Linked DNA regions of Mus musculus. The protein of the gene in region 1 purifies or fractionates together with the protein of each later gene. This does not show direct contact. Links are inferred from orthologs where the notes say so. Each region holds a gene or a part of one and is shown on either strand. Other genes may lie near its edges. The genes, in order: Magohb and Pym1.

Evidence for each region.
Region 2: the proteins of Magohb (region 1) and Pym1 purify together in Homo sapiens (co-immunoprecipitation; 3 studies listed by BioGRID and IntAct, with this or other methods). This does not show direct contact. The link is inferred for Mus musculus from reciprocal best matches to the Homo sapiens genes MAGOHB and PYM1.

What each region holds. Positions count from the first base shown.
Region 1 is NC_000072.6:131,290,259-131,294,693, forward strand, and holds the start of Magohb (protein mago nashi homolog 2), read right to left. Parts: upstream 2,987-4,435; 5' UTR 2,908-2,986; coding exon 2,814-2,907; intron 1,683-2,813; exon of another isoform or gene 1,483-1,682; intron 1-1,482. UniProt on the Homo sapiens protein: Required for pre-mRNA splicing as component of the spliceosome. Plays a redundant role with MAGOH in the exon junction complex and in the nonsense-mediated decay (NMD) pathway.
Region 2 is NC_000076.6:128,747,094-128,751,336, reverse strand, and holds the start of Pym1 (partner of Y14 and mago), read right to left. Parts: upstream 2,883-4,243; 5' UTR 2,805-2,882; coding exon 2,771-2,804; coding exon of another isoform or gene 2,703-2,770; intron 2,667-2,702; exon of another isoform or gene 2,547-2,666; coding exon of another isoform or gene 2,477-2,546; intron 1,055-2,476; coding exon of another isoform or gene 1,000-1,054; intron 1-999. UniProt on the Homo sapiens protein: Key regulator of the exon junction complex (EJC), a multiprotein complex that associates immediately upstream of the exon-exon junction on mRNAs and serves as a positional landmark for the intron exon structure of genes and directs post-transcriptional processes in the cytoplasm such as mRNA export, nonsense-mediated mRNA decay (NMD) or translation.

The DNA.
Region 1 (4,435 bases):
ACTGACAGGTTACCCTACTGGGGTGTACCCCTCAGGAACTGTAGATCTCATGGTTCATTATTTTCCATGTAAGTGGAACAATGCAGTGGCAGAGACGCATGAGAATAAATCCTTACATAAAATTCTCCTGATACTGTTGGAGGTCTTAATTTGAATGACTCAGGGTGCTAAGAACAAGCTGGTGTTATTCAAATGCAAGAGGAACAAGAACAGAATTACAAGAGGAATAAAATTTTTAAAAAGCAATTAATTTTTTATAAAAATAAATAAAACTAGGGCTGGAGAGATGGCTCAGAGGTCAAGAGAACAGTACTCTTCCAGAGATCCTGCATTCAATGCCCAGCAACCACACGGTGGCTCATGGCCATCCATAACGAGATCTAGTGCCCTCTTCTGGCCTGCAGGTATACATGCCAGTGGAATGCTGTATATATAACAAATAAATAAATCTTAAAAAAAAAAAAAGAAAGAAAGAAAGAAAGAAAGAAAGAAAAGAAAAGAAAAGAAAAGAAAAGAAAAGAAAAGAAAAGAAAAGAAAAGAGAAAACTAGAAGACCACTGCCACAACAACAAAATTTGGGAAACAAGGGTGAAGTTATTAAGTTCTAAATAACAGCAGGAACACTGACTGCTATGCTGACTTCTTCCTAAATGCTTGAAACTTTTGGAATCCATGATCCTCTCCTTACCTATCAAAGAACCTCGTGCAAGTCATGCATAAAGCACTTAAGTAAAACCCATACTGTCCTATAGTAGGTTAAATGTTTGTCTCCCAAGTACCTTCAGCTTTGACATTTATATACTGCCCACTACATAATGAACATTCAAAAATAAAAATTCTTGGTGCAGGTAGGCAGAGCTGTCCCAAGACAGAATTGCCTTACACTACACAGGGAGAGGCTCCAACAAACCCCTGATCATTCTGCTCTCCTCTGGTTTTTCTCTCACCCAGAAACCAAGAAGGTTTCTCAGTTTTATCTCAATCAAGTGTCTCATCTTCTAGGGGCAGATTCTTTTTTGCATGGGGAACTTTGTGAGGGGACAGGGTTTGACTGTGTAGCTCTGGCTTTTCTGAAACTCCATCTGCCCCCAGAGTACTAGGATTAAAGACTCAGGGAAGCTGGGCGTGGTAGCACACGCCTTTAATCCCAGCACTCGGGAGGCCGAGGCAGGCAGATTTCTGAGTTCGAGGCCAGCCTGGTCTACAGAGTGAGTTCCAGGACAGCCAGGGCTGCAGAGAAACCCTGTCTCAACCCCCCACCCCCACCCCAATAAAAAGACTCAGGGAAAACTTTTTTTGTTTTGTTTTTCAAGGTCTGATCATTTACTTCTTTGTCTTAAACACTTACTGTTTACTGGACTCAGACTTAAAAGTAGAAGCTCTCATTGAGGACAGTCTATGTCTCTTGGAAATCTGTTCCTGGTATTTTTTTTTTTTAAGCTTCATTCTCTAGGCCAAAAGTTAAGCTTATTCTGTAGCTACCTTGTTTTTCTTAGTGTGTTGCTTCTTGAGAACAATACATTGGAGATGGTGTTGTTGAAGGACAAGTGACGTAAGTAGATGCTGAACCTTGGGTGCTTTCCTCCTGGATTTCTTACAGCCACTGTTGCAGGGCTTTTCAATAGTTCATTAGCAGACATCGTCTTCTTTAGAGTTACTAAAATGCTTTAAGATTCTGCTAGCTTGTTGGGACCAAAAACAGAGGGACAGGGGCTCAGTCCAGCAGTATCAATATTTTTTTACAATAACCAATTTGAAAGCACTCAGATTGGCATTCATAATATATCAAGAACAGACCTGCAATTCCTCTCTCCAGCTCTCCTTGGTCTATAGAAGTATGCCCCTTACTCAACAGCAGGTACACTCTGCTCTGGGTCAAGAAGCCTTGTTTTGTGGGAAAAGCTTGTTTGTCATTCCCCCAGTCCTTGGTTGTGACTGGGACCACACAACACTTCCCCTCTTCACCCAGAGCATCAGCGGCTACCCCTGTGGCCATTTGCTTCTTGCTGAAAGTATGAAGTTTGTATTGATTGTCCCCTTGAAAGAGTTCTGACAGCTGGTGGCTAGGAAGGAGATTTTCAGACTCATTTAGACAAGGCTGGCCGACTGCCTAGGAGGTGGCACAAAAAGAGCTTCTAGGAGCATTTCCACTGACTCCCTTACCTTTGGCCATCATCCACTAGTGAAGAACTGTATTTCAAACCTGACACATACCACATTCCTGTGTTCAGACACGGGGCTCCTCCCCTATAAAGCAGCTTTAACACATACCATGAATGAACGAGTAGGCCAAAGAGGTCACCTAAAGATTCCATGCATCCTCTGGAGTATCACTTGATAATTCTGTTAACACTCCCGGAGCACAGGTTCTCTGCTCTAAGTTTCCGATTCCTATATGTTCAACTTTTCAGGAGTGGCAGAATTCGCTTTTCTGAATTACTTTACAGCATTTTTTTCCCTCTCACAAACATAACCCATGTCTGCTCTCACAAATACAGCACAAGCCTGCTACAAAAGCAAAGTCTTCCAATGTTGGAATGAAACCCTTCAAGCCCTTCTGGGAGTCTGGGGCATGGTGACACGCCTGTCATCCCAGCATCCCAGAGGCTGAAGCAGGAGGATCGTGAGTTCGAGGGCGGCTTGGACTACACAACAAGGCCCTTTCTCAAAACTAAACAAGTAAATTGAAATAAAGAAGAAAGGAAACACACACACACACACACACACACACACACACACACACACACACACACACACGCTGAAACCCGCTCCCTGGGCGGCTCGCCCTCCCTCGCAGCCCCTCCGCCGCTCACCGTCCGGCCGAAACTCGAACTCCAAAAACTCGTGCCCAAACTTGCCCTTATGCCCGACGTAGTAGCGAAGGTAGAAATCACTACCCATAGACATTTTTACCCTCGGTAAAGCCCGCTATACCGCGGGGCCAACGTGCCGCCGGCGCGAGGTAGTGACGTCACGGGCGCAGGCAAAGCGCGTCACCAAGGGCGCGTTTACTCCGGTAGGGAACGAAATCCCGGAAAACTGAAGAGGAAGCAAGAGACCCCCAAGAGAACTGAAGGTTCGCATTGGAGCCACCACGATCTCGAGCGCTTTTTTTTTTTTTTTTTTCTTTTTTTGGAAAAGATTTTCATGTCTTCGATTTTTACGTTTTAACTCTGTGACGATGTTATACACGTACATGATGAATTTTAGTCGCTCCCACCATGTTATCTTCTCTCATCCCTTCTCCGCTGAACCAGTCTTACCAATAAGCCCTCCTGTACGTTTACGCCTTGTTTTTGTCTGGGTTGAGGGGAGGCTCACCGAGTTTAATAAGGGTGGCTTGCATGAGCGCGTTGGTGGATACAAAGTCCCGGATTTCATTTTGGCATTCTATATTTTGGTTGAGCCACACTCCACCTCTTCCTCATCTACTGCCCCCAACCCTTGGGCCCAAATTATTCCCGCTGCACTTTCTTGTTAAATGTATCCTGTTACACTTCCCACTCTATTTCTTTAACCTACACTCAGTATCCTCTCTGGTTTAATAACCTACACTCACTAGCACATAAATACACTCATACAAAAGCTAAAATTCTATACAAGATTTGTCTTAATACTTCATCATTACCTCACTATAATAATTGCCAGATTTGTCCGTTTTCCTGTATATTTTATCTTAGCAAAGAAATAGCTAGGGATTTTGTTTCTTTGTTTTCTTCTCGTTTGTTTAAATGGGCTTGGAAGGAACAGATGTAAAACCACTTTTACTTTCGAGTTGCCCTATGCTATAGGTGTGTCTTTTTCTGAGTTTTGAACTAAGGTTTACAAGCTGTACTTATTGTGGGTATCTCTGATCTCGAAGCACATTGTAAAGTGGGGTGTGACTCTACTTCCTGAAACTGGTGAACTGAGAAAAGATACATTCCGGTGGCAACCAGAACACAATCTACCAGAGTCCCTTTTGGTAATACTTCAAAATTTCCAGTAGCTAACAGCCCAGACGGAGACACAGAGTAAAATGAATCTGTCTGGTGGGAGTTTGATGTTTAAATAGCACATGAAACTGAAAAGTCCAGATAGTCATCATAGAAGAGTTTTTCATAGTATACTACAACTCATGAGTCACTAAGGGTTAATGGTTAGTACCCTATATATTTGCAGGGCTAGGTCACAGTTCTCAACAGTTTGAGTTGGAAAAATACGGAACATCCAAGTGTAGTCTTGAAGAGCACAAAATGACAGTGAACTGCACCCAGTTCCCTCGTTCCAATTCCTGATCACCTTTCTTTTAGCACCACTGAGTAATCCTATCGGTGACTGATGGCCTTCTGTCACAATCCTAAGAAAAAGAGTCCAGTCTCAGTACTGGTCCCACGTAACCTTGGACAAGTCATTATCTCTCAACCTGTTTGATCATTAACTAACTAGATACACA
Region 2 (4,243 bases), on another chromosome or scaffold:
CCAATATTCAAAAATCTGGACTTAAACAGTGCAACCCACATCTATAATCCCAGTGCTCAAGCCGCTGATGTGAAATCCTGACGGGAGGGAGGAGAGTGACAGACACCTGGCTGAGGCTAAGAAAACAGAAATGACAGGCCCTAATTTTCCAATGAAATATAAAGTAAGGGTATTTGCCACAAAAGGAGGAATTAAAGGGCTAATGATAGAGTCTTGTAAAATAGTCATAAAAGAATTTAGGCTTCCAGGAAGCAGGAATTGGCAAAAAGCTGTAATATTGACAGAAGTTAACACGAGACTGAATCTTCTAACTTCCGATTTTCTTTTCTTAGAGTCTAAAATCAGTAGCCAAGAAAAGAGTTGATGAATATCATTCAAGACAAAGACAGCCACATGCAGTTCTGAACTAAATACCTGCAATGCAGGTGGCTTAGGAGGCGGGGACAAGAAGAACAGGAGTTCAAGGCCAGCCTGAACTGCAAGAGACTATCTGAAACAGCCAAAAACAACAAAAAAACCCAAAAACAAAAACAAAAAAAAAAAAAAAGAGAGAGAGAAGAGGGGGCTAATATGGCTCAGAAGTTAAAACACTTGCCACATTAATATAAAGACCAGTACTCAGATCACCAGCATCCATCCACATTCACACCTGTGGGCTGGTGGCATGCCTACAATCCCAGCACTTGGGAGACAGAGACAGGATCCCAGGAGCACCCTGACTATCTAGACTAGCTGAGTCACCAAACTCTGGGTTAAGGTGAAAGATCCTGTCAGATATAAGGTGGTGGTGGTGGTGAAGTGGGGTGGTCAAGGAAGACACCTGACATCAACATCTGGCCTCCACATGCATGCACGTGCACACAGACAAGTACACGCATTCACACCCACACCCACACCCACACACACAACCAGAAAACCTAAAGAGGGCAAAAAGCTGCCTCTGTGGATTTGAGACTGTCAAATGGCGACTGGTAAGGAGGCTAAAGCGAAGGGGAATACCTGAAAGGAAATGTGTCACAGATGAAGTCCAGGTTGTAGTAATCCTGAGGTGTAGCTGAAAATACAAAGGTACGTCAATGATCTCGTGCTCAGGAACGAGGGGGTTCAGAGCATTCCCAAGCTGCTACAGACAGAATAACAAAAATAAAAACAAAAGGGCTAGAGAGTTGGCTCAGAGGTTAAGAGTGGCTACTGCAGTGGACCGAGGACTTGGGGGTCTGATTCCCAGCACCGACATAGTGGCCTACAGCTCAAACTCCAGCCTCAGATCTAATAGCTCTTCTGACTTCTGTGGTCTCCAACCACACAAATGACGCACAGACATACACACAGGCAAAACATTCACACACACAAAATAAGTCTTTTAAAAAAACAAACAAAAAAACATAATCTGTGGGCAGTAGATAGGAACACTGCCGTTTTGCTAAAATTGCATTTGAAAAGCAGAGAGGCAAAAGAACAGCTTATTTTCCTCTTCTACAGAGCCACAAAGAACAGAAACTATCTCTATAGCAGGGCAGGGGCCAGATGGAATATAAAAAGAATAAGAAGGTACACATTAAAAGCTGCAAACTGCCTGTCATGGTATTAGACGCCTTTAATCCCACAACTTGGGAAGCAGAGGTAAGTGGATCTCTATGAGTTCAAGGCCAGCCTGGTCTACACAGTGAGCTCTAGGCCAGCCAGGGCCACATAGTGAGATCACATCTGGGGATTGGAGTGTTAAAGATGAAAGTTGCTTTTTAAAGGTTGGGCACAGTGGCTCATGCTTTTAATTTTAATAAGGAACATTTAAAGCAAACCAAGAAGCATAAATGGCACATTTTAAAACACACCGTGCATTACCGCACAATCACAGGATCACTTCTACAAAACCCTAGTCACATATGAAGACCAAGATGAAGGCTACAAAAACAGTCACCGGGTACTTGCACTACGTCTTCCAAATATCTATTTGATCATCTCGAAGTCAATATTGCACATTATCCTAAAGACAAGGCAACTACAAACAAGACAAAAACATAAAACCGATTCTCAGCTTCACACACAAACAGCTGACTTCCAACATTTCAGACAGCTCGACTGAAGTGCTACTCAACCTTTAAGAAATCATGGGGTTCTATCAATTATCAAAGACGTTGAGAGAAAGGCCAGTAGATACTTTCCTGTTTGTTTTCTCCCACTTTAAATGGAAAACTCCACCAAGGAGAAAAGTCAAGTTGAAAGTTAAATTCCTCTTCCCTTCACACGTCTGGATTTCAGTGACACCCACCCCCACCCCCACCCAATGAAGATGGGGCAAAGAGTGAAGAAGAAAGCACTATGTAGCAATGAGATCATCAGCAGACACAGCCCGGAGAGAAAGAATGAAAACAGGGAAGGGTAGAGAGCAGGTACAACAGTAAGAAATGGGGGAGGGAGAAAGGGGGTTGGAATTGGAGGGAACTGAGCACAGGAGCCCATAATGCTGGAGAACCTTGCAAAGGTACGGGACTCCAACAGCTAGAAAGAGCTGAAGCGCCTAAGGGTCCCGGAGCAGGGGACATTGGAGGACCCCAGGGTTTGGGAGACCGGAAGCAGAGACCCCCCCCAAAAAACACGAGACCAGAAGGGGGCGCAGGTAACAACCCAAAAGGAATGAATGGGGAAGGCGGTACGGGGGCGTGGCAAAGGAGGAGCCCCGGGATGGGCGTGGCACAAACCCTTTTCCAAGTCCGAACCCCTAACCCAAGAATCCCGGGAGAGGCGGCTCCGCGATCCCCGCACTCACCGCCGGTCTCGTCAGTTACATAGGGAGTCGCCATCTTGAGAACCCGAACCACTTCCGGCGTGAGCGGGCTGGGGTCCCGCCCCCCTCCCCGCCGGAAGTGGAGTCCTCATCCTAGCAAGCCACCATTTTAATCTTAAAGAGAGACTGCACCATTTCTCTGACGCGGGAGGCGGAAAAGGCGAGTGTAAGACGCTCACAGTCATGGGCTCTTAGACTACCACCGACGCCACTGTTGACCTCCTGATGTATATAAAACAATCCCTAGGGCTCGGAGAGAAGTTTGGGCATAAGCCTTATCCCAGACAGTCCTCGCAGGCTCAAGGCCCACCGGGACCCAGCAGGAAAGCTGGTAAAAGAGGAAAGGAATATGCAAGGCCCCTCGCCTGCACCAAACCCTAGGGCGCGTGTTGGCATGGGCAAAGAAGCCCCAGGGATACACGAAAACCCGGGCTAACACTTAAAAGTGGGCAGGTCTACTCGGCACGCCGACCACTCTCGGCCGCCCAGGTTAACTGATCAGAGACCTACGAAGGGGTGCGCAAAGATCGGCGCACTGCGAGTCGGTCACCTGTCCCCGTGGCCTCGGGGGTGCTGGCGGTTTCCATGACTGAACTGGGGCGGGCAGCCCTGGGGATTCAGCGGCCGGCGAGGTAACTTCTTGGCCTGCTGCTCAGTACTGGATCCTCTCGGGTCAGAGGGCACGGGGTGAAGGCTTTTGGGGCGGACCCAGTCAGTATTCTAATTAGCCGCGCCCCACACTTCGGATTAGCTTTGGCTACCGCGAGCAGTTCCACCCTTAAATCTACCGGGACAGTGAGGCCACTCCCTTTGTTAGGTTGTGCCTTGTTCTTGGAAGGAGCGCCAAAGCCCGGTCCGGTCCCTCCCCTCCTCCATCAGCAATTTAGTTCCTCTGGGGCTAAATCCTGTTAAACTTGTTTCCTCTTCTGTCAGGAAGGTGCTGGCTCAAGCTCCTCTCCTCAGGTGTCTGCCCTCCTCCTACAAAGCTTTTTCCTTAACTCTTTCACCCTCTTCTATTGCCCAACTTTGGCTTACACTAACGTCCAACAGTGCCTCTCAAATTGAGAAGTGGGGAAATATTAGTACTTCAGTAGTAGACAATATGTTCTACTTTAAAACAAAACAACCGAGCAGTGGTGGCGCACGCCTTTAATCCCAGTGGAGGCAGAGGGAGGAGGATTTCTGAGTTCGAGGCCAGTCTGGTCTACAGAGTGAGTTCCAGGACAGCCAGGACTACACAGAGAAACCCTGTCTCGAAAAACCAAAAAAAAAAAAAAAAAAAAAAACCAAAAGGAAAAAAAAAAAAAAAAAAAAGAAACAAAACAGGCTAATAAGAACCTCAACTAAGTTTTCAAAAGCTCACACATTGTCCTCCTTGCAATTCTCCCAGCTTTAACCTCTCTCCTTTCAATTCAAGTCTCAAAATGACTTTAATGCTATTTGCATGCACTACAT